4 linked regions of the Drosophila melanogaster genome follow. The protein of the gene in region 3 binds, or shares a complex with, the protein of the main gene of each other region. Each region holds a gene or a part of one and is shown on either strand. Other genes may lie near its edges.

The links.
Region 1: Nup98-96 (region 3) and Nup205 share a complex: the UniProt entries of both Drosophila melanogaster proteins name them as parts of the nuclear pore complex.
Region 2: Nup98-96 (region 3) and Mgtor share a complex: the UniProt entries of both Drosophila melanogaster proteins name them as parts of the nuclear pore complex.
Region 4: Nup98-96 (region 3) and xmas share a complex: the UniProt entries of both Drosophila melanogaster proteins name them as parts of the nuclear pore complex.

The regions. Positions count from the first base shown.
Region 1 is NC_004354.4:19,850,511-19,858,237, reverse strand, and holds the start of Nup205 (nucleoporin 205kD), read right to left. Parts: upstream 6,025-7,727; 5' UTR 5,891-6,024; coding exon 5,669-5,890; intron 5,590-5,668; coding exon 5,266-5,589; intron 5,179-5,265; coding exon 5,077-5,178; intron 4,987-5,076; coding exon 4,424-4,986; intron 4,360-4,423; coding exon 3,859-4,359; intron 3,803-3,858; coding exon 2,251-3,802; intron 2,151-2,250; coding exon 766-2,150; intron 703-765; coding exon 1-702. Other genes in the region: pico, read left to right, coding at 7,226-7,375. UniProt on the Drosophila melanogaster protein: Plays a role in the nuclear pore complex (NPC) assembly and maintenance, but with limited role in NPC permeability. Required for specific nuclear import pathways such as Mad import.
Region 2 is NT_033778.4:11,850,917-11,855,645, reverse strand, and holds the start of Mgtor (megator), read right to left. Parts: upstream 3,030-4,729; 5' UTR 2,891-3,029; coding exon 2,740-2,890; intron 2,299-2,739; coding exon 1-2,298. Other genes in the region: Sln (silnoon), read right to left, coding at 3,918-4,299, 4,361-4,487, 4,564-4,729. UniProt on the Drosophila melanogaster protein: Component of the nuclear pore complex (NPC), a complex required for the trafficking across the nuclear envelope. Functions as a scaffolding element in the nuclear phase of the NPC.
Region 3 is NT_033777.3:23,775,610-23,783,182, reverse strand, and holds the start of Nup98-96 (nucleoporin 98-96kD), read left to right. Parts: upstream 1-1,561; 5' UTR 1,562-2,018; coding exon 2,019-2,298; intron 2,299-2,358; coding exon 2,359-4,896; intron 4,897-4,975; coding exon 4,976-5,494; intron 5,495-5,562; coding exon 5,563-5,745; coding exon of another isoform or gene 5,746-5,765; exon of another isoform or gene 5,766-5,967; intron 5,968-6,075; coding exon 6,076-6,251; intron 6,252-6,307; coding exon 6,308-6,590; intron 6,591-6,649; coding exon 6,650-7,573. Other genes in the region: mbc (myoblast city), read right to left, coding at 795-843. UniProt on the Drosophila melanogaster protein: Part of the nuclear pore complex (NPC). Required for MAD import as part of the Nup107-160 complex and required for nuclear export of Moe probably via its association with Rae1. Plays a role in nuclear mRNA export.
Region 4 is NC_004354.4:17,156,271-17,161,240, forward strand, and holds the start of xmas (xmas), read right to left. Parts: upstream 3,037-4,970; 5' UTR 2,945-3,036; coding exon 2,901-2,944; intron 2,837-2,900; coding exon 1,303-2,836; intron 1,243-1,302; coding exon 1-1,242. UniProt on the Drosophila melanogaster protein: Involved in mRNA export and mRNA coupled transcription activation.

The sequences.
Region 1 (7,727 bases), on a different chromosome or scaffold from region 3:
TGCTGCAGGTGGCCGAGGTCCATATACGGCGTGGCCGAGCGCAACATGGCCTCGACCATGTCGATGTGGGCGAACAGAAAGTTAAGCACCTGCACGGCGGCGGAGTTGTTGCGCGGACCCAGCGAGTTGACAATGGCATCGCAGAGGCTCAGCGCCGGCAGGAGGATCGACCGGAAGCGGTCATCGATGGACGGGAGGAAGGTCTGCGGCTCGTTACGATTCAGTTCGCTGGACTTCAGGTCGGGCTGCTGGTCATAGACCTTCATATTCGAAAGCACGCCCAGCGCCTGCTCGGTGAGGAGGAGCCGGGCTCCCACATTGCTGTTCGCCATGCGCGTGAGGAAGGCCATGCGCGACTCGTAGACGTAGAGCGGCCTCAGGTGATCCGGCACGGGCTGCAGAATCCCGCAAAGCGCCGTACTGGACTGATCAAGGCTTTCCAGTATGTGCTTGAGGTAGCCACGCGATGCCACAAAGTCGCATAGCGTGCTCACCGCCTGCAGCTCGGAGATCATGTCCAGGCAGGCCAGCGCCAGCATGCGGCACACATCGTGGCCGGTCACCGCATCGTGGCAGATGGTGTCGATCAGCTTCTCGCCGAACGTGCCAATCACTTCCGCCGCCATGGCCTTCAGCCGCAGGCGATCGTCGCGCCGCTGCTCCTTGTTGTACGTGCGTGCACTCTCCTGGCGCGAAATCAATCTGCAATGAAATAGAATGAAAGCTACAACTGCCTGCTACTGCTGTTGAGAAGGATACACTTACGTCTCCTGGTACTCCAGATGCTCGTCGGTGCGCAGTCGCTTCGCGATCCGCAGGCAATTCAGCAGCGAACTGTACAGATTGATGCGCAGCTTCTGCGACTTCACCTCACTGATCATGATCCACTGGACGAGGTTCTTGAGAATGAATCGCAGATTGCTGCTGTTGCCACCGGAACCGATATCCCGTCCACCTCCACTGCCGCCATCCGAACCAGTTCCGATTGCCCTCTGGCCCAGACACAATGCGTTCACCTGCGAATCGTTGCCGATGGCGTTGCCATTGCCATTGCTGAGCGAATCCTCGGCGGCCAGATCCTCGGGGCTCTGGTCCTCGGCCTGGTAGCAGCAGTAGCGCAAATTGGCAAGCAGCAGCAGCACCGTCTCGCTCACCTGTACGGATATCTCGATGATGGGCTGTATGGGCTGCACCTTGATGAGTACCTTCTCGACGATATCGATGATGTGCTGGCGACGCTGCGTCGCCGGAAGCACGGCATCGGGCATGTTGCTAAAGAGCACCTGCACCAGTTGACCCCATGCTGCCATGAAGGCCAGCGTGGCGCAGCGCTGTGTCCGCACGCGATTTATGTTGACGGCGTGATTGAGCAGCAGCATGATTTCCGTGGAAATGGCCTTCCGCTGGCCGCTGGCAATGATGCTCTGCACCATGTACAGCTCGTCGGTGAGAATGTAGTACAGTTTGCGCACGTTGATCAAGTTGGCCCTGGAATTGGCGCCAGCTTCGGCGGATGCCTCGCAGTCGCGCAGCAGTTGAGTGATCAGATGCCCGTCGAAGAACTCCAGCTGCGGCTGGCTCAACGTGCCCGCCTCCAGGACGAGAATATCTAGCAGTCGGGTGACATGCAGTCCCTGCGATGTCTCCTGCAGCAGCGATGGCTTAAGTGATTTGACCCCAGTGTTTGGAGCTCCGAGAGACGCCGAACCAGCCCCATGTGCCACGGCACTTATCGATCCACCGGCCGGTAGCACATCCATGGCGAGGAAAGACGACGACGGCTGTGAAATCAGGCTGTGGCCCAATTCCATCGACAGGCCATGGGATGAACGCTCCATTCCGTTTCCAATTAGCAAAATGTCGCACATCTGGTTGAAGCGCGTCATCTGGCCATGTTTGGCCGCCAGTTTGACATCGATAGAGACGCAGTTGAGCAGGTGGCCCATGGCGTGCAGCACATGATCCTCGCGATGCTGCCGGAAGGGCAGCGAGCGTAGGTGACGCAGCAGGAAGTCGCTGCACGTTAGCCGGAAGTAGCGCAGTATCGTCTCCGCGGTGCGGCGATTGGCGCAGAGTCCATGGAACAGATGGTAAATGCGCTCCACGATTCTCGCCGTGTGCTCGCAGTACTTATCGCTGTGACGCTGTTTCTGCAATATCAGAGATTGATTTGATTGTTAAAAGTTGGTAAGTTAGTTAGTTAGTTAGTTAGTTAGAATAGATAGTAATGGCCAATGGCTTTCAACTCACATCCATGTACTTTTCCAGCAACAGCACTACGGAGTTCACGCACGAGCTTTGCATCTCGATGGCCAGGTGCTGCCGTCCGTTGGCCATAAATTCGCGCAGCACATCCACGCCGAGCAGGAAGTACACAAAGTTGGGCAACTGCTGGCTAAGATTCATCTCGAACAGCTTGATAATGGCCTCTTTCAGTTGCAGCTCAATGCTAGCCGGTTTGCTCTCCAGCGCGCCATCCCCCGCCTGCAGCTCCAGTTGCGATTCAATAGTTGAATATTCGCGTTCCCCGCTCATCTCTCGCTCATTGTCCAGATCATCGCCGAATCCCAGATACGGAACGTGATTGTTGAGGGCCAGTTGGTCCAACAAATCGTCGTCGTGCTTGCCCACGCACACCTCCATTTCCAGGCACTCGACGAAACCCTGACGAATCTCGAGCTTCTCATTGCTGCCCTGACCGTACATGCTGAGAATCTGGGTGGAGACATTCGGCAGCTGGGTGACCGAAGCCAGAATCTTAATGGCGGCCAGGGCGTGCCGCGGCAGCCAGCTATTATAGGTTACATACTTAATGATATTCAGCACGTGATCGGGCTTGCGACTGCGTGGATTCAGATCCAGGAGCATGCGATTCAGGCCCGACAGCAAAATGGGGCAATTGGCCGCCGAGTGGGCCTCAAAGAAGGCGTTCTGTTTCGCCAATGCGGCTTCCAGGATCAGCAGTGCGTACAATGAGCACTCCTCGAGTAGCTTCTTGCCCTGAAAGCGATTGTAGTTGTCCAGCCGCTCACGCACCTCCTCCACAATGCACAGCAGCAGCTGCAACATTTCGGACTTCAGCTGCAGCTGCATCATAACGTGAAAGCCCGGATAGGGAGGTTCATCGACTGTCTCCAGAAAATCCATTGCGGACGGCCGATAGGTGGCCAGTAGGTAGTAGAGCAGTTTCAGGCACTGGGCGCCAACTTGCCACTTCTCGGAGGGAACCTTGTACGCGCGATTGTAAAACTTGAGCAACACCGAATTTATCATGGACTTTAGATAGCCTTCGTAGGCCGGTGTCCGTTGCCCGGCGCCCAAACTCTTCGGCAGATTGGTGGTCATCAGTGTGTAGAGCAATTGGAGGATGCCGCGCGTCAGGTTATACTGCTCCGAACGGCTCTCGATTTGTTCCATCTCCTCCAACAAACTGCACTGGGCATAGCTTCTAGACACGGGCACAGTGGGTATAATCTGCGAGGCCTCCAGGTGGAACCAGATGACGCGCGCCGTCTCCTTCGATTTGGCCAGGGCAGCCAGCGTGTGCAGAATCTCCGCCTTCAAAAAAAGCGGCGTGGCGCACGCAACCAGGCCCAGGAGCACCTGCGGCGTCTGCCAATTGGGATGGTCACAGATCATGATGCGCGAGACCTCGTCGTGTTCCGCCACCGCCTGTATGATGCCCATTACGGCCACCAGATGCTCCGCCTCTCGCTGCGTAATGGCCTTTGGTGTCGATCGGGTGCGGTAAATGGTCTCGCCGCTCATGCCGATGTTGGTGTTAAAGTCGTTGCGCATCGAACTAGAAGATAGTGATCTTCAGAGAGATCTTCAATACCAGATTTGAGTCACACTTACGTATAGTAGTTGCCCAGGGTGGTGAAGAAGTGATCCCAGCTAACCGCATACTTGCCGCCGGTGGCCATCTGGGGCACCCTAAGCATGTTGAAGGCGCATCGAGCCGAGAAATCGGTCCGTGTAAGTCCGGATATCATCTTGAGGTAGGCCTTGAACAGCGTCTGTGGCAGCAGGTCGCTGGCCAAGCTAATGAACTTGAACAGCGACACCGAGCGCGAGGTGTTCTTGAATGCCGTAGAGCCGTTGGGATCGCCGGGGCCCCAGTACTCGTTGCACAGCCTGATGGTGACGCGCGGATCGCCGTGCATCTTGGCCACGCACAGCATGAGCAGCTCAAAGTTGGAGTCCAAGTTGGGCGGCGGTTCCAGACCCTCGTTTAGGAAGCTGATGATCGTGTGTGACGACTCGTCTGCTCGGCCGCGCAGCTCCGACACCTTGGAGTTCATGAAGTCGATGAAGTCCGTGATGAGCAGATGGACGCGGCGGTAGAAGAACTGCGTGCTGTCAGCACAAATGATGATTAGCTTGCGAATCGGCAATTGACACTTCAGTTGTCAGTACTCACCTATAGACCAGATCCTTCTCGAGCAGCAAGCTGTGGAAGAAGACGAATACCTGCGCTCCCAGTGCCTCGTCGATGAGCATCTCATCGCGATTGATGATCGAGATGGCGGTGGCCTGAAGCTGCAAAGGTGCATGCCGCAGGCTGGCCAGCGTTAGTCCGAAGCTGTAGGCAATGATGGCATTCAGGCGCGGTGCTTGCCAGCTGCTCTGCGCGTACAGCTCCTCCAGGAAGCACTCGGCGAACTCGCGATCGCTGAAGATCGGAAGTCGGGTTGTGTGCTCATTGGGTTCCTCGGTGACCAGCAGCATGGAGGTATCGTACGCATACAGCAGAGCCATCAGCATGATCAGGGTCACGTCGTCCATGTTGCCGCCCGCGTCGTGGTTCTTTCGGTTGGCCAATTGGTGCATCAGCCGAATGGCAATGTGTCGCGGCAGGCCGCGTTGTGCCGACCAATTGAACAGGGCCATTGCCAATGCCTGTTGAATGTCCTCGTATAGGCCGAGCACCTGGTTCTGATGCTTCTTGGAGCCAAACGCGCGGTTTGTGGTCAGCATAGCGCACTGCGAACGTTGGACAACAAATGAATAACAATTTGCGAAGGAAGATATGCAATTTCAGAGAATTTCAGAAACAGGCGCATACAAACCCACCTCCTTGTCGACATCCATCTCCTCGAGCAGCTGCAGCAGGCGTCCCAGTATCCCAGAGCCGTCGACAAGGCTCTCGGCATAGTTAGTGACCAGACCGGTGATCTGCGTGCGTAGAACGATAATCAGGGTCAGTGAATCTCTCTTTCAGCGGCACTGCGATGCCTGCGATGTCGAAATCTCGAAACTTACCTCCTTGGGCAGTTCGGTGTTCCACGAGACGCCGCTAACCACCTGGAACATGTCGCGAAGCGTGCAGCTGATGGCCTTTCGTCCATCGTAGTAGAGCAGCACCGCGACAAGGCCTCTGGACAGGCCGGGATGATGCTTCTGCTGGCGCTGTGCGGTGCACAGCAGCTCCACGGCGAAACCCTCGTCCAGATCGAACATGTCGGACAGAATGACCGCCTCGTCGGCCAGGTCCTGTGACATCTTTGTCTTTCGCGAATGCCCCTGCATCGGGACGCCTTCGTTGAGGGCATTTCGTAGGAGATTGCGGCTCTTCTCGCTTCTCGGCTGCCGACATTTTCAATAATGGATTATCAATAATTAGTTAAATCTACGGATCTGCAAGCGCTTGTTTTGCTATACCCACCGGATTGCGCAGCAAGTTGCTGAAGTTGTGCTTGTACTTCTTGAGGCACTGCTCCAGATCCGAGGTGAAGCCACTGCGATTGGACACCGCGGTCTGAAAAGTGTTGTACAAATGCTTGTACGGCGTCCACATGTCCTCGATTACAGCTGTGGACGCATGGGTGGCATTAGTGATTTGGCGACCCACGCACATCTGCTCGTTGGCCAGGCACTCACCATCCATTTCACTTGGTTTTGCGGTTCGCTCAGTTCACGCAGTTCTTGCTGATTCGCAGTTATTGACTATAAAACGCGGCAAGATTGCTTCGCTTTGCGACAAGGCGCCGGTTACCAGGGCTGGGTGCTGCAAATACTGGAAAACACAGATGTTCACCACCGTACGAACTCACCACGCTCGTACGCGCTTCGGTGCTTGTGCCCGCTAACTGCGGTTGCTGCGCTGGCTAAACGGTTGATTCGAACCAAGTCAATCGGAAAATCGATGCTTATCGAACGATAATCGAGGCGCTGCATCGGTGCGTTGTCGCACCACTAACTAACACAACTTCAGTGCGGCGCGGGCGGGGCGTTTTCGTGAAAATCTACGCACGGACTTTTCGTAGTTACCCGATAGTAGCATCCATTTGTTTTGTTCCGATTCGCGTTTTTTTTTTTTTCTGTTCTCCGCCACTTGATTTGGCCAGCGAACGCACTGCCCAAGTGGTGTCCTGTTCGCATTGTGAGTGAATCACCGATGGCCGCGGGCAGGCTGAACTGCACCATAGTGGGATGCTGGTTCTGGCTGTCGATGCAAGTGGATGTGGAAGTGGATGTAGAAGTGTAAATGCAAATGCAATCGGCGCAGTTCGGCTGCAATAAATGCCAAAAGGGATACTAACTGCCAAAGCCAGTGCAATTGGAAGGAAAATTCAAATTTCATTGGGAATTATTCGAATTGGAATTGAATTTGTAACTGGAGTTGGAGTTCAGAGTACTTGGTACTGGGTGTGCGAGAGCGACAGAGAGGAAGAGAGGCAGTGCAAGTGTGTGGGGGTAGCAGTCACACAGGCACACACGAACATACTCACAACTCCAGTGCATAAAACTCCAAACTGCGTTCGCCTCTCTCTTTTCGTTTCGCTTGCTCTCTCCCCTACGTTCGCCCACGCAACGCCTGGCGAGCGAGAGAGAGAGCGGTATAGAAGAGCAAGGGAGCCAGAGCGAGAGAGCAAGGAAGTGGTTTTTCCACCGAAAATATGGACAAAGGCAAACTGCAGAGTTAGCTGAAAATAAAAAAAAATAAAAAAAAGGAACAAGACACAAACAGTGACTGAAATAGCGGTTAACAGCGCTCCCTTACGGCGAATCGTTGAAATTCAAGACGGAGAGCTATCGCATTTCTTCAATTATGTCTGTTTCGCTTTTCATTCCGCTGCAGTAAGCGATCGCGCGAAGGAGCAGCAATACAGAGAGCGAGATTTGGAGAGAGAGAGAGAGAGATAGAGAGTGCGCTCCCAATTGACGACTCCACTCCACTCCCACACACACTTAACCCCGCCCCCTCGCACCCGTAATTACTATGGATTGTGGTGGTATTGCGGCACATCAGCAACAACAACTACAACAGCAACAACTGCACTTACTCCAGCAACAGCTACAACAACAACACCACCAGCAGCAGCGGCAACAACAACAGCACAGCCTCGAGGAAGCAGCAACAATAACAAATGTAAGTATCTCCCAAGTTTCTCCAAATGTGTGTGTGCGTTTGTGTTGCTCGACCATTTCCTCTGTACTTCATAATTCGCTCCCACACACAAAAAAAAAAGAAGTCATAGGACAGAGTACACAGGAAGAAACTGAACTATACCTTTAAAGTACAGCTTCTTCAAATTATAGTAAGAACGGTGCAAATGGTAGACTCACATATGGTTGGTAATTGTATTAACTATAATTCTCTATTAGTGTTTTTTTTTTCGAGTGTATTCAGTATACTTTACTCCTTGGCTATGAAAATAACCTAGTTATGCAGTGCTAGGTGATCAAAAGACTTCAAATTCGGTACTCCAAAGTTGAGACTG
Region 2 (4,729 bases), on a different chromosome or scaffold from region 3:
AACTGTTTAGAAGCAGTGATTGGCTCTGCTGCTCGCGGTGATAAGTCTCCTTTTCGATCTGCAGTCTAGAAGATGTGTCCCTTAGAATGCGGTTCTCTTGGCGAAGGCTTTGAGCCTCTGCATCGGCTGCTGCGTGCTTGCGGTGTGCCGCCATCATTTCGTCCTTGAGCAAATGTACGGTTTGCTCGTGTTTAATAATGGTCTTTTCATAGTTCTTGGTACGCTCTTCCAATGTAGTCACCTGCTGCTTGTAGGTGCCTATATTTTTGTGAAGTAGTTCGATTTGCTCTTTCTGGAATTCGGTGGTGTTCATAAGCTTGCAGTTACTGCTGGTTAGCTCCCGCACCTCCTTACGCATAGAATCGAACTGTTCTTGGGCCAGTGCATCGTTTTTACGCTTTTCGCTAGTGTAATAGTCGTAGTTCTCTTTCAGTGAGGCATACTTCTTGACCTCCCCTTCCAACTGTTGCTCCAGCTGTCGCACCCTCTTTTCCAGTTTCCTGCTCTCCTCAAAATTGGCTGCCGGCTGCTCTGAAGTATCCAGTGCAGAGTCGTTAGGCTCCAGATTGGAGTCGTCCAGATCCACAGTATTTTGACCGAGCTTCTTCTGAGCCGCGAAATATAACTTCTTGTAGCGGTCGCACTTGGATAGTAGTGTAGTAACCGTATTGTTCTTTTGCGTTAATAAATCCTCCAATTCGGCAAAACGCGCATCCAGTTTTCTTATGTGATTCTTAGACTGCTCCAGCAACATCTTATCTTGGTTCTTTTCGCTAGCCTCCAAAAGTTCTGTGAGCTCGCGGGACATATTCAGGAGGTATGTATTTCTATCCACCAACTCTTCAATAGAACTAAAGGTTACCAAGTTATCGCTGATCAAACTTTCGCTGGTGGGTAGCTGACGAGTTGGTTGGATACGTACATGTTTCACTCCAGCCCTTATGCAGTTCAATTCGTCCAGCAACATGCACACCTGTCGGCTGAGATCGGTGTGTGTCTGTTTTAGTTTCTTATTCTCATTTTGGTTGTGATTAAGGGTAGATAAGGCCCTTTCCAATTCCCGCTCAAGGCATAGCTTATTTTGTAATAATTCATCATGCTCCCGCAGGAGCTCACTGTTAGTTTCCTTCATTTTTTGGTAATCGGAGTTCTGTTTTTCCAAAATCGGTGCACTCTCTGAAATCTCAGCAATGATCGACTTGAGCTGCAACTTCAACTGCTCAATTTCGCAGTTTCGCATCTCCAGTTCTTCGCTGCTTTTGGCGTACATGGAGTAAAGTTCGGTAAGCGATAGATCGGAGCGGATAAGGCGACTAGCCACAGCCGCACTGGGAGCCAACTGGCATATGGCGCTTTCCAAATTACTTTCCCGGGCCTGTTTTAGCAAATCGTTGGCACTTGCTAGCTCCTGTTCCATAGCCTGAATCTTCTTATTTTGCTCGTCCAACTCAGCGCTGTGCTTTTGCTTCATGGTTTCCATTTGCTCCGTCAACTGGGCGCACTGCTCTTCGGCCTCCTCTAACAAACGTTTAATTTCGGAGATGCCCTGTAGGAGTTCCTCCCGTTGGATCAGATGATCGGATTCGGTGCTCTTAAAGATTTCAAAAAGCTTCTCTTTGGCATCAAGTTCCTTTTTCAGCTTCCCCACATACTCTTCCGTGGCCTGGTTCTGCTTGAAGGCGGTGTCGTTTTGCATTTCAATCTTGCTGGTTAGTTCCCCGATGGTCTTGACGGCCTGTTCGTACTGTTCCTGCATCAGCTTTAGCGATTCGGTCTTTTCTTTAAGGCAAGACTGTAGCTGCATGGTGTTTATTGTGTGCTCCCGTCGGATGTTCTGTAACTCGGCGTTGCTTTTGTTCAGATCTCCGCTGATTAACAAAATCTCCTTGTGCAGCATATCGCGTTCGCTTTCCATGCGGTTCTCTTTGAGCTCCAGAGCCACTTCCTTACTTTGAATTTCGTCCACGCGAGCAATGGCTTCGCACTTGGCAGCAATCGCGCTGCTCAGCTGCTGCTGGTAGGTGTGCAGATCCTGCTTCAATCGTTCCAGCTCCGCTTGTTGGCGCTCGATTACCTTCATCATCGAATCGCGTTCTTCAACTACCGACGCCTTTTCCTTGCGCAACTGTGATATAGTTTGCTCGCCTTTGGCGATCGTGTCCATTAGGTTAACTCGTTCCGAAGACATCTGATCTAGATGAGTGCGCAGCTCGTTTACATTTAACTCAAAGCTGGTAAATTTTACTAGATAGTCCTCCATTTTGTTCTCCAGCTCTTCCTTTTTTTGCTCGGCTTCGGCTGTGAAAAGGGCAAAAATAAATAATCTTCTTAACTGGATTTAAGTAACCACAAAGTATTTGGATTAAAATGAATACACAGAAATTCCCTGAAGATTTCAAACTCGGACTAATCAACTGTTTTGGTGGGAAAATGTCCGGCCAGTGTTACCACACCGGTGAGGTGAAAATTAATAAGGAAAATAATGTTGCTGCAAGCAGCCATTGTTTTTAATTGCAACAACCCGGAATTTTATATTTAAATTTCTATACAAAAAATATGTAAATGGCGCAAGAGTGTTTACCACGCTAGAAACCATACAGTCGCGGATTGCTTATTACAAGAAGCGGTATCTGAGCCGGTAAACGCCGCAAAGTTGGAGGTAAAAGCATACGCATGCAAATAAAGGGTTATTTGCAAAATATGGCGCATTTTAGTATATATACAAATATAAAAACTTACCCAACCGATTGGCGGCCGCACGGTTCTTGCAGTACTCATCTGAGAAATTGTTGATGTACTCCGACAATTTCTTCTGGACGTCTTCCGGCACGAGTTTCAACTCGTCGGGCTGAAGTATGTTGTTCAGAGTTTGTGGACCACTGAGATCCATGTTCGCAGTTGATCCTTGTCAAGCAGCGGTTAAATTTATATGGAGCGGTGCGAAGTTTACTTTCTTACTTTTTACTTTACTTTAGTCTTAATTTTTTGCGAATTGTGCACAAAGTCGCTTTAGGGACGCGAAAAAATGAACGTCAATGCAGTGGAGATGGAACAATATCGATATTTTTCGGTACTATCGATTCGAGTATATTATTCTCACTGTTTCAACAGCGTTATAACAGCCTATTCACAGCCTAATAAAACAAAATGTTTTTCTTTAAAAAGAGATAAATTCATTCATAAAAAAAATTTTTTAAACGTGGTTGAAAAATCCGTTTTTATTACGAATAAAAAAAGAAAGGACTTTATTTAATAACATAAACGAATGCAAAACCCAAACCAAGCGAAATCATTCCCTTTAATTCCATAAAACGCGATTAACCTTTTGATTTCGTGTTTATTTGGTAATTGTCTTTATGGGTAAATGTCTCACAACAACTATTTTAATTCTAGGGTAATGTAATGTGATGTTCTCCATTCAAGCCTCCCTTCTGTCTAAAGCCACTTAATTTTTCCTGCACAAAGTTTAGTCCTTTCCGATATGGATGTGCGAACCTACAACTATAGTCGGCCTATATAACCATCTAGTCGGGCATTGATCGTAGTTATCATATTATAAAGTTATATACGGGTATTTGTAGTTCATGTCTTTTAAACTCAGTTCTTTTTGCGCAACATTTGGTGCTCAGTTGTTGGTTGTTTAGGTTGTTTGGTTTCTTCGTTTGAATATCATCATCTTACACATCCTTTTGCTGTTGCTCAACGGAAGGATAACAAGCGATTGGGTGCGGGTGGGCATGGGGATTGATTAAGATACAAAGATACGGATGAGAACGTACGGATAGTAGTAATAGTAACTGGTAGAATCAGCAATATCGGTGAGGCATTCGAACTCTGAAACTCAGGAACTCAACTAGTATTTGATCGCTACTAAAACACTATTAACATATGGGGCAACCAACGAATCCGAATCATTTCTAGGCCTCCTCGCACTCCTCCTCCTCGCGCTGAACAAACAACCGATGGTTGCGGGCCTCCAGGATGGACCACACAATCAGCGGAGTGGTCCCGAGCACCATGCAGGATCCCATGCAGTAGAAGCATATCTCGTAGTCTCCGGAAAGGTCTCGCATCAGTCCTGCCAGCGGAGGCACCGATATGGCCCCGATGCTCTGGAACATCCTCACCAGCCCGTAGCTCGAGCTGATCCTGTCCGTGCCAAAGACGTCCGCAAGGAGGACCGGCATAAGTACATACCAGCTACCCAGGCAAAGTCCGTAGACAGCGGCCGATAGACCCACCAAAACCAGAGTCTTGGCGAAGGGAATTGTGAGCACGGCACATCCGGCGCCCAAAATGCTGTCGATATAGGGAAATGTGATTAGTTTGGATCGAAAAATAAACCTTATCTGGTACTCACCACAAGGTGTAGGTCTTCTTGCGATCGAATAGCTGCAGGTCGCACAGCCAGCCAAGTCCAAGGCGCCCAATTAAATCTAGGACCGCGCTGATGGCCACCAGGTATCCCGCCTCACTTTTATTGTATCCTAAAGATGAACCAAGTTTATAATATTTAAAATCGTACGCCGAAAGAATATACTTTGAACATTTTAAATAGTATACCTATTGAAATAACGTGGGCGGGCAGATAGTACAACATGTAGGGACAGCCGACGGACATCAAGGTGACGGATAGGCACATCAGGATAAAGCTCGGGTCCTGCAGCAGACTGATGTCCAGGTACATCTCGATGCGCTCGCAGCAAGTGCGTGGTCCCCGCTCTTCGTC
Region 3 (7,573 bases):
GGGACTAGAGGTACCTGTACTTTATGTACCTGTCGTATCTATTGATCAGCGGTGAAAAGGTCAACAAAACGAGATCCATAAAAAATTCACACGCATTCGAAGCGGGTCGCGATTAGATATTTCATGGTCACTGCCATTGAATTGGGATTTGTCTCACAGTGTACACAGAAAATAAACATTTCTACTGTCAGCTTGATGCAGCTTGCCTTGGGTTTACAAAGACCAGGTTTCAAATCCCACACCCGTAAATACGTAAAAGTTGTAGTACTAATGTTGTAGTACTTCAGATTTAAGTTTATGTAAAATTACATTAATTGTATAAAATTTCTTTATGTGTACCAGGCCTTTTTTCTGGCAGTGTGTTGCAGTTGCACGTGAGAGACAGAGACAGTATGAAAAGCGAGAGAGACAATAGAAAACAGGTTTTAGTTTCAAGAGCAAATCTCAGAATTTTATGCTAGTGTTGACTGAGCAGGATGAAATGAAATGAAAAACGAAACAACACAGTGAGAGCGGGAAAGGGAGGATCAACAGCAGCCGAGTGAGCGTGTGCAAGCGAGAAGGTGCAACAAGTTTTACCGTAGCAACGCAGCAGGAGGCACACACATGCGGTGAAATAAGAGAGAGAGTTAGAGAGAGAGGTGGGGGTGGAGATGAGGTGTGCTCTGGAAAAGAGCGCCCAACAGTTCATAAAGTTTTCCTTTATTGTTGTTTACAAAGCACTTTGTTTAAACATTCCTGCCTAGCCATATTCTACCTAATTTATCGGCTTAATAGCCGCATTGCCAACTTACCAATGCCGAATTCTGCCTGCTTGGCATTGCAGTCGCTCCACACACTCATCTTGAAGGCTTTTCTTCTCGTTGTTGTTGCTTCTACTAGTGTTGTTGCTGATATTGTTGTTTTTGCGCCGACTTTTACCACCAACACGGCGACAAACGATCGCTACTCACACATGCAAAGCGATGGACTTTCGTTTGCGAAAATAAAAACAACAAGACATTAAATTAGGCAACGGCAAAAGAGCAACACGTAGTTGAAATTTTGATTTCGTTTTCACAATGCCGCCAACACAAGCATTTCGCCTCCGATTTCGCTACAGATTTCGACGAAAAGCACACCGGTTGGACAATTGCAACCAATAAATAATTATTGCACAAAAGCTAGCATTCCGCACAAATTGTCGCTCCGCAAATGCATTTTGCGCCGTTTTTCGCTCGTTTTGTTCTCGACTTGTATTTGGGCTGGGAGTTGGCCGCTGCCGCTCAGCTAATTATCACATGTACACGCACTCGATCGCACACACACTCGTGTGTGACAGTTGCCAATTAATTAAATAACCGCTCTCGGAAAACAACCCGCGCGTTTCAACTGTTTGTTGTGAATGAGCGTGCTCGATGCCCAGAAGTACCGTACTGTTCCCAATCGAAAATATCAAATATAGAGTGCCCCTTACAGCGTGTTCACACCGTTGATGTCAAATGGGTTTTCACTTTGTTCGCAGTACGGTCACATAAAAATGTGAAAATCGAGCTTACCTACAAAATACGAGAAACCCAAGTTATAAAATACATTTTCCACACATTCATAGTAAATTTGCTTCGGAGGCACCAAGCAAAAATTTTATTAAGACCATAAATAAGTTATGGTCAATAGTTATGCGCCTGGCAGTTGTATCCTGCTTTTTTACAGTGTATTTTTGCATGCGATTTCACGCCTTGGTCACACTTTTGGCTGCATTTTCTTCAACATCGTGAAAAAATCGGCGCGCCATTTCTGTCCACTTTTTGCGTCAGACTCGGTCGACTCCTGCTGACTTGACAAATTCGCGAGTGTTTATTTGTTTTAAGCTAAGCCTGTCCGGTCCCACAACCTTCGCATCCGGCGCAGCCGCCCCAGCTTGCCCAACGTGGTGAAATCGAAGCATTGCTCATCGCGATAGTTGGCATTCCGGCGAAGGACAAAGCAGGGGATCTACCTAGTATATGTTTGTTATCTGAGCAGCAGCAGCGAGCAAAATGTTTGGCGGCGCGAAACCCAGCTTCGGAGCCACTCCGGCGGCCACCAGCTTTGGCGGATTCAGCGGCACCACAACAACCACTCCGTTTGGCCAGTCGGCATTTGGCAAACCCGCCGCACCGGCCTTTGGAAACACCTCCACCTTTGCCGCCCAACCCGCGCAGCAGTCACTGTTCGGTGCGGCAGCCACACCAGCTCAGCCCGCCGGAGGCTTATTCGGGGCAAACACGTCCACGGGATTTGGAAGCACTGCCACAGCTCAGCCCACGGCTTTTGGAGGTTAGACACGATCATTTGAAGTGGTATCATGTTACTAATTTAGTAATTTCTTCTTTGCAGCCTTCTCGCAGCCGCAACAGACCTCGAACATATTTGGATCCACCCAGACGGCGGCAAGCACCTCCCTCTTTGGACAATCGACGCTACCCGCCTTTGGAGCCGCCAAGCCGACTATGACGGCCTTTGGGCAAACAGCTGCTGCTCAGCCCACGGGCTCTTTGTTTGGCCAACCGGCTGCCGCCACCAGTACAACAGGATTCGGAGGCTTTGGGACGTCGGCGCCTACAACCACCAATGTTTTTGGCAGTGGCACCGCCTCCGCCTTTGCCCAACCTCAGGCTACGGCCGTGGGAGCTTCCGGAGTCAATACGGGCACGGCCGTGGCCAAGTACCAGCCAACCATTGGTACAGATACCCTGATGAAGAGCGGTCAGGCAAATAGTGTGAACACTAAGCAGCACTGCATCACGGCTATGAAGGAGTTCGAGGGCAAATCTCTGGAGGAGCTCCGCCTGGAAGACTATATGTGCGGGCGCAAGGGTCCACAGGCTGGGAATGCTCCGGGAGCTTTTGGATTTGGAGCTCAGGTTACTCAGCCCGCTCAGCCTGCAAGTGGTGGCCTGTTTGGAAGCACTGCCCAACCAAGCACAGGTCTGTTTGGCCAAACTGTGACCGAGAATAAGAGCATGTTTGGCACCACCGCTTTTGGCCAACAACCGGCGACTAACAATGCATTCGGAGCAGCAACCCAGCAAAACAACTTTCTGCAAAAGCCCTTTGGAGCCACCACCACCACTCCGTTTGCCGCTCCCGCAGCTGACGCTTCAAATCCATTTGGGGCGAAGCCTGCTTTTGGACAGGGAGGAAGCCTCTTTGGTCAGGCACCTGCTACCAGTGCGGCTCCTGCTTTCGGACAGACTAACACAGGATTCGGAGGCTTTGGAACCACAGCCGGAGCAACGCAACAGTCAACTCTTTTTGGTGCCACACCAGCCGCCGATCCAAATAAATCAGCCTTTGGGTTGGGAACGGCTGCATCAGCAGCCACGACAGGTTTTGGATTTGGAGCTCCAGCAACAAGCACCGCCGGCGGAGGCCTTTTCGGAAACAAGCCCGCCACTAGCTTTGCTGCTCCAACTTTCGGCGCAACCTCCACGGCTAGCACTCCGTTTTCAAATTTTGGCCTGAACACCAGTACAGCAGCAACGGGAGGAGGCCTTTTTAACTCGGGATTGAACAAGCCAGCAACGTCCGGATTCGGAGGTTTTGGAGCCACCAGCGCAGCACCACTTAATTTCAACGCAGGCAACACGGGCGGATCACTTTTCGGAAATACAGCCAAGCCGGGAGGAGGTCTTTTTGGAGGAGGTACTACAACCTTGGGTGGCACGGGTGCTGCCCCAACGGGAGGACTGTTTGGAGGAGGAACTACCAGTTTCGGAGGTGTCGGTGGTTCCTTGGGCGGAGGAGGCTTCGGTATGGGTACAAACAACTCGTTAACTGGTGGTATTATGGGAGCTCAGCCCACACTGGGTATCATGACGCCTTCACACCAGCCCATTCATCAGCAGATCCTAGCTAGGGTAACTTCTCCCTACGGAGACTCTCCGATTTTCAAGGATCTAAAGCTAAGCAGTGAAGCAGATGCAACAAGAGCTACAAATCCTGCTGCCCAACAAGCAGTTCTGGACCTGACCAGCAACCAGTACAAGATAAGTACCAGCAACAATCCTGCTCCAATGAAGGTAAAGGCGCTGGGCAGCACACTTAATAGAAAATCGCTGTTTGATGGTCTCGAGGAGTTTGATGCTTCTGTAGAGGGCTTCAATCTGAAGCCCAGTGCTAAACGATTAGTTATCAAACCCAAAGTAAAAAGTGTAGAGGGTGGAAATCCCTCTAGCTCTATTGGCAGTGCTCCCAACACGCCCCAATCTCGACCCAAAGGCGCAACTCCCAACAAAGAACGCGAGTCGTTTAGCGGAGCCATTCCAAGTGAGCCGCTACCACCAGCTGGAAACTCGCCTGGAGCAACGAATGGACGGGAAAGTCAGGATAACGGCCGCCGTGAGTCATGGCTGCATCCTAACAACCTTGAGAAGGTACGCCAGCACAACATTCAGACTGGAATGGATCAGGGATCGCCCCATAACAGCACCCTCAACGAGCTTGTGCCACGTAAACCTTTAGATACATACCGACCATCCTCCACCGTTCGCCTCTCGGTGTCAACCATCCCAGAGAATCCATTTGAGGATCAATCCAGCACCATTGCACGTCGCGAAACCTTCACTTCGCAGCAGGCCAATGAGAGTGTGCTTTCGAACAGATCTAATGAGGCAGAGGACTCTGCAGCAAACCAATCCCGCCTAGCCATTGAGGCAGCTGCTGCAGAGGCAGCAGACGACGAATCACATCCAACAGGCATTGTGCTGCGACGCGTGGGTTACTATACAATTCCATCGCTAGACGACCTACGCTCCTATCTGGCCGAGGACGGATCCTGTGTGGTTCCGAACTTTACGGTGGGTCGGGAAGGATACGGCAATGTCTTCTTCGGCAAGGAAATGGATGTGGCTGGCCTGAACCTCGATGAGATTGGTAAGAGTCTTGTGTTTTTTTATAACCGTTTGTGTTTGCTCTCATACATTTATTTAATGCAAAACAATTTGTATCACAGTCCACTTTCGCAACAAGGAGATTATCATTTATCCCGACGACGAAAACAAGCCGCCCATTGGTCAAGGTCTAAACCGTGACGCCCAGGTCACTTTGGACCAAGTATGGCCGTTGGACAAGACCAAGCACGAAGCCATCAAGGACCCACAACGCTTGCTTGAGATGGACTGGGAGGGCAAGTTGCGCCGGGTGTGCGATAAAAACGATACGCGCTTTATAGAATACCGCCCGGAAACGGGTAGTTGGGTCTTCCGCGTCAAGCACTTTTCTAAATATGGCCTGGGAGACAGCGACGAAGAGGACGAGTTGCCCACTGACCCGAAAAAAGCCAAAATTGCAACGCTTGAGGCTCAGCAGCGGGCAAACGCAGAAAAGATGACGCTCAATTCGCTGCGCCAAGCGCAGAAGATTTCAGAAGATGCAGCCCGTAACTTGGACCCAAAAGCCTTGGTCGCAGGTGTTGCCAGCGGATTCAGGCCAATGGATGATACCGCCGAGTTCCTTTTAATGGACAAAACACGTACGTCTAAAGTCCATTTTAAAAGGTTTAGTTTCATTAATTGTAATTTACTTAATTTTAATTCGCAGAATTTTTCCAAGCTGGTGGCAACTCCGATTTCTCCATGTTTGATCCACCGCGTCAACGTCCAACGATTACCAGTCCCACAGCTGTTTTGGCTCAGGAAATGGTAGGCAACGAGGCGCACAAAATGCAGCTAATGAAGTCATCCTTCTTTGTGGAGGACAATGCTCCCGAGGACGAACCCATGGGTAGGTGGATAATCTCTTGATGGTCTTTCAAATTGCTTACAGTAAAAGATATGTAGATGTTTAAATGTTAATCGTTAGTTTTGAGCAAATATGTATTGTTAATTATCAACGATATTTAATGATTTTTGATCGTTGCAAAAAGTATTATATATATATATTTATGTTTAAAAAGGTAGCACAAATTATAAAGTTAATAAAGCTTTCAAATGTGTTAGTAAATCCAATTCATTTTGCCTGCTTTGGCAACAATTCATTATAATTACAACAATTCACTGCTTATCATCCCACACGGCCACTATACATTTGAAAATTACTCATAAATTTCTACAGAGACTACGGGGCGTCTTCTTCGTCATCGCAAGTTTTTCAACGTGGAACCTCTTGTTTGGAAAGATGGTGCCTCCGAGAGTTCCAGTCAGTACGATTTTGAACACCCATCGCCCGCTCTGCCGATTTCTTCCTCCGTCTCTGAGGCCAGCCTGATGTGTGATGCACATTATGAGGAGGTATATCGACGTAACCTTTTACTTTGAAGCCCAATAAACATCCTGATCAATTTCAGACATCGTCGATGGCAACTGGAAGCATTGTTGCAGCTGTAAAAGAAACGAAGTTTGAAATGCCTGTCACTAAAGCCTTCAAGTTTGTCTGTAAGCCCAAAGTGGCTCCGATTAAGTTGCGTGCCACCACGGTTCCCCTACCCAGGTCCATCGCTTATGAGATGCGCGATAATTGGATCGCCGATTTGGGATTCTACAAAGGACGCAGCTTTAAGCTCAGTTTTGGTCCACAAAACTCATTGGTACTGCCAAGCACCTATAATAACATGCAAAACCTAAAAGAATGTAAGAATATCTGAAACAAGCTGTAGCAGTCCAATTATAATAATTTCCCTTTGCTTCAGTTACTGGACCATCCCTGCCCGTCTCCATGGTATTTGCGCCGCGCTCGGCCACCGATTTGTCGCCCAGTGTAATGCAGTTGGTGGAGTTTAACATGGTCAAAGGCAACGAGGGTTTTCGAGAAAGTATCATTCCCCATCTCGAAGTTCAGCTTAACGACTGCCTCTCAGTTAATGTGGAGGGTAGTGAGTGCCCGTGTATACATCCCGATAGCGGTACGAAACTAGTTTCCAAGCACTTCTCCGAGTCTCTTAAGCAGAGAAATGCTGGCTTAAAAGAGGACTATAGCGTGTCAGTGTGGTCGCTTTTATTCGCACTATGGGGCGATCACGATGAACTGGTGGACCTGGAAAAGAACTCTCATTACATGGTCATGTGTCGGCGCAATCTGCTATCCGAGTGGCTTGAGAACACGCTGCTGGGCAAAGATCTACTCTCGAAAAAAGTTAGCACCCACAGCTACCTGGAGCACATGTTGGATTTACTTAGCTGCCATCGCGTAAATGAGGCTTGTGAGCTGGCCTTCAGCTACGATGATGCTAATCTGGCTCTTGTGCTGTCCCAATTAAGTTCCGGAGCTGTCTTCCGGCTATTAATGGAGGAGCAGCTCTTTGCCTGGCAGCAGAGCAAGTCGGATAAGTATATCGATCTGGAGCGCCTTAAGATGTACATGCTGGCCGCCGGAGCGCCAATGATGCAGTCTTCACATGGGGCCATCAACTTACTCGAGAATAAAAACTGGCTGACAGCACTGGCCCTGCAGCTATGGTATTTCACAGCCCCAACATCGTCTATCACCGATGCACTCAATGCTTATAACGACGCCTTCCAAGCGGAAGAGTGCTATGCGGAGCCCCCAAAGCCCAGCTACAGGGACGCACCTACTGACACCAAGAAGCCCGTCTACGATTTGCGCTACCACTTGC
Region 4 (4,970 bases), on a different chromosome or scaffold from region 3:
AAAACGAGCATCCGGCGACTGTGGCTGCTGCAGTAGTCCCCTATCCAAATCGCAGTTCAACTGGAGACCCTCCTGGCCGCCGGACAGGCTTATCAATAGCTTGTAGAAGCGTCTAGCTCCTGGTTGCGCTACCGGCAGACACTTGTCCAAAACGTGCCACAGATCCAGTTTCAGCCAACTATGCTCCTCCAGGCCAGCCAGAAGTTTGCCATAATCGCAGGGCTCGCCAAGTCGATAGCGTCTGCTTAGACGCAGTGAATCTTCCATGCTTCGTTTGTTCACCACTCCTTCGGGGTTTTCGGCTCCAAAACTTAAAGGCAGTTGGTTAAATAGCGTGTCCTTCTCCTGTTGCGTTCGCCGATATTTCCGCCATCGTCTGATGCACACCCTCATGACGCCTAGTTCGTAGATGGATTGCTCCATCTGCCGCTCGACGAGATCGCGTGTTATTGAGTCCAGCATGGATTCGTAGGAACGGCAAGCCCGACTATGCGACATAAACTCGCTTTGGCAAATCTCCGCGAGGGTGTCCTGGAATATTTCCTGATACAACTCCAAAGTCCTGGTCTGTTTGTGGGCCTCCCTTTCCTGCTGCTGCACAAAAAACAACTGTTCCAGTTTCAGTTGCCTCTCTTTTTCCAGCTGAAGTTTCTCCTGCTCCCGCTGGCGTTGTTCCTCCAGTTCCTGCTGCTGGCGACGCTGCTGCTCCTGGCGTTCCCTGAGTTTCTGCTGACGCACTCGCTCAGCCTCGGCCACTTTGGCCTCGTGAATAGCCATTAGCTCAGCTTCCCGCTTCTTTGCAGCGGCAATGGCTACTTGGAGGGCCTGATGCTTGGCCTCTTCTTGTGCCCGTCGCTGCTGTGTAGCCGGAGCTTGTTCCTGGAACTCCTGAGCACGTGATTTGGGAAGAACAAAACTGAATCCATCGATGGAGGAGGCTGGCGGAACAGCAGCCGCAGCAAATACTCCAAACCCTGCTGCCGTTCCGTCGGGTTGCATGGGCACCTTAAACAAAGTATCGCTATGTTTTGAGACTGCTGGTGGCTGCGAAGGCATTTGTGGCTGCATCTCCTCTTGCTGCATGCCAGCCAGCTGATCCTTGGCCGTCCATGCAATGCTCTTAAGCATTCCATAATCGTCGAAGCTATTGTGCGGTCGGTGATTGAGGTAGAGGTCTCGTGGTGGTAAAGGTTCCCCACTGACGACTTCGCCCACGCTCTTCACGCGTTTCACTTCCACCAACTGGAAGTGGATAATAAAAATCAAATTAATAAAACAAAAAAAAGAAAACCATTTACTTACCTCATACTGTCGCGGCAGCTTGTACTCCGTCTCCACCGTGTGCATTCTGCTTAGCACAACTCTGCCCGCCTCGTTGATCTGCAGGCCATAGTGTTGGACAAAATCCGCCGCCTCCTGTTCGCTGGCAAAGCTCAGCAGCTCGGCGATGTAGCTGAGAGGCAGCGAAGACACCTCATCCTTCCGCGGAGACCTATACGCCTGGATCAGACGATGCAACCCCAGCACGCGCAGTCGCGTAAAGTAATTGACTAGGATGCAGGCACTCAGGTAGCTGGTATCCTTGTCAGCCAGCAGCTGAAAGAACCGCACAAAATTCGTGTCCTGCAGGGCCAAGTAGAACTGAATGGCTTGACGCACTTCGGGACAACTCTGCAGTTCCGCGGGCAGCTGACCGATGTCCCAGAGAAAGTTGGCATCGGCCAGATTGAGCAACACAATGTAGCCCCGGAATTCCGCCTCTTTGGGACATGGAACGCCCTTAATCCGCAGGTCATGGTACATGTACTTCAGAGTCTGCAGGCATTTGGTTAGATTCTCGGCGTTGATCTTGCTGTCAAAGACGCTGGGATCGGCGTCAACCAGACGGGCGGCGCAATGAATGTGAAACCGGGCGCACTGCTCCACCAGCTTCACAGCGCCCAGAGAGCATAGCTCCTGCTGGGTGATCTCCTTTCGGATGGACCTCGTGCGATCCCAAACGAAGTGGAACCAATCGCCCATATGGCTTTGCGGATCCTGGCGCTCGCTAATGTCCATGATCTCATGCATTAGATAGCTCATGGTCATGTGCAGGGCAGTCTCATTGCGCAGTTCATGCGGCAGTGGCGTCTCCTGGTCGGCACTGCTGCGCGAGTACTGCTTCAGGGCTCTTTCGTGACAGATTAGCTCATCGGAGCCCGGTTGTAGTTCATAGTAGGCTACCTGGCGCTGGAATTCTCTCAGCACGCGCTCCTTTTCCGGACACATATCGGCGCAGTGACCCTGGGTGGCACCGGACAGCTTGTGTTGCGTTCGGTTCAACCGGAGCAGCTTATCGCGGGCATCCAGCACGCTGAACTTCTCCTCGCTTGTATGGGCGGGTCTGCGCATCATGTTCTCAAGATCCCTGAGCTGGGCAGGCGTACGATCTCTGCTCACCGGCGCCGTTGCGGGCCCAACTGGTATGGCAGGCAGCATTGAACTGCCACCGCTACCACTGCTGCCATTTTGTGGTTTTTTTATCGGCTTGCCCGACCCATACTCATTGCGCCAGCCCGACTGCAGTGCACTCAACTCCGCCTGAATGTCAGGATCCACCCACTCCTCCGTTTTCTGTGCCGGCGCCGTCTCGTTATCAGCATAGGATATATCAAACAGGTGACCCTGAAAGCTGGCGCCATCGAGAAGCGCCCGCGCCGCCTCGTCCTCGCTGGCATAGCTTACGGTGCAGGTCATTCGCCGCGGACGCAGGACGAAGTTTACGAGGGTTCCAAAACGTCCAAAGTGCGAACGCGCCACATATTTGTCCAAAAATAGCTCCGGAATGTTTCTGCATCTGGGGATTCGTATGGAACTATAGTTGACATCGCTCTGCCTTTGATGAACGAACTTTTACTCACAATAATGTCTTGTAGTTGTAGCCGCCGGGACGGGGTTCTGCCATCGATCGAATATAGTTTAAGGTTTTTAGTTTCTTTTTTAGCTGAATGAGAGCGAATGTGTGCTTTGTTGTTACAATATTGCCGTCAAGCGATTGCCGGTAATCGATAACGCAAATCTGAAAATGGCGCGAAAAAAATACCGCAATGGCTATCCCACCCACACAATATCGTTCAGGTTTAATTGAAAATTTTAATGTTTTACATTCGAGATGAATGTATTTGCCTAATAAATAAAATGTTAACAGGAGTTGGTAAACATATATTCTTAGGAAATTAGGAAATGCTTGGGGCGTTCCTTAAACTGTTGAATGAAATCGAACATCTTCTTATATTATCTTATATATATATGAATATATATATAGGTGTAGCAATCTTTTTAAGTTCTTTTTATTCTCTTTTAAGCTCTCGATTCAAACTCCTCGATCTTGATAACACTATCTGTCGTTCTTAGGACTATACAATTAATCCTATCGAAATTGGTTGTTCCTAGTATTTTATATTTATACATAGCTTACATAAGAAATATTTTCATCTTTACACTTTAATATTTTAAGACGATTAATTACCTCTTAATCAATATCTCTATTTAATAGGCTGACTTATATAAAGCAATGCAAATTCAATAAAACTTATTGCAGAATTAGATGGCATTTAGCCCAATCCCTGATTTTAAAATAAGCGGGAGATAACGAGCAGTAGTGTGACCGCCCAGTAAAGTATAACCAAATACCGCGAAGAAGCCAAGCTGCTGTTCCGATAGTATCGATGAGCCTGCCATCCCCAGAATTTTGGTCATTTGTTGTTGCTCGCCAGGGCGAATTCGAACTCGAAGCGCAGTAATCAACGCGCTGCTCGTGGATTTTTTTTGCATTTTTTTGAGTTCAAATAGTTCGTTAATAAGAGTGGCGGTCAACGATACTATTCCACTTGCAATCGAAATATGAATAGTTGAAAGTGATAAACAACAAGAAAGAAGCGACGCCAACGGGCGAAAAAGGAGATAACCGAAAACGAAAAACACGACAAAAGCAACGTTAAAAGAGAGTAACAGAAAAGATATAAAAACGATGATCGAACCGTAAATTTAAAACCATGCAATCTACAGCGCATAATATATAATAATTTGACCAAAACAAATGCCAAGTTTGCGAGCGAGAGCGAAGAACGTTAAAAAAAGAAGTAAATAAATGATCTTGGCCCGCTGTTTGTTGTTCTTGTTATTATGGTTGCCGTTGTTGTAACTCGTTTTTTTTAATGCGCGCGTGTATGAATCACACAAACACAACAAAACAAACAATAACAACGATGCCTTACGGTGAAATATGCTAAGTAAATAGCAAAAGAGAGTTCCAGTTTCCAGAGAGCGACAGAGAGGGAGAGCGCGCGAGAGCGACTACAAGTACATACTGGAAAGCGATCCCGATCCTTTTTCCAGGCACGCAGCCATCTCGCTCGCACCCATGCCGCCCTAGACCAACTTTTGTTGCAGCTGCCTAACAACCAACAATACAGCAACAACAAGCGCACTGTGCACGCGAAAGGAGCAACAAGGATGGCGATAGCTGGAAAGCGACGACGATGATGATGATGCGGTCGTAACAACAACAGCAACAAGAACAACAAAAAGCTGCTGCAGGCAGACGAGCATAGCGTTAAAAAAAAGTAGCTGCATACAAAATAGTAATAGGAAAAAATCCGAAAAATTCGAGAAAAAAATAAGTTAAAGAAACGATCGCCCAATTTAATCAAGTGCATATATGTGTGTGCAAAATAAAAAGTGCATTGCAGCAGTCAAAAATACATACTTATTATCGCAGATCGAAGACGATAATAGTTATTGTTAACACGAAAAGTACGAAATGAAGGTCACCGTCTGCTTCGGCGACGTTCGCATTCTGGTTCCCTGTGGTTCCGGCGAACTCCTCGTCCGCGATCTCGTCAAGGAGGCCACGCGACGCTACATCAAGGCGGCCGGCAAGGTAAGGGGATATACCTGATATATATGATATAGTATTATAAAGTATTACT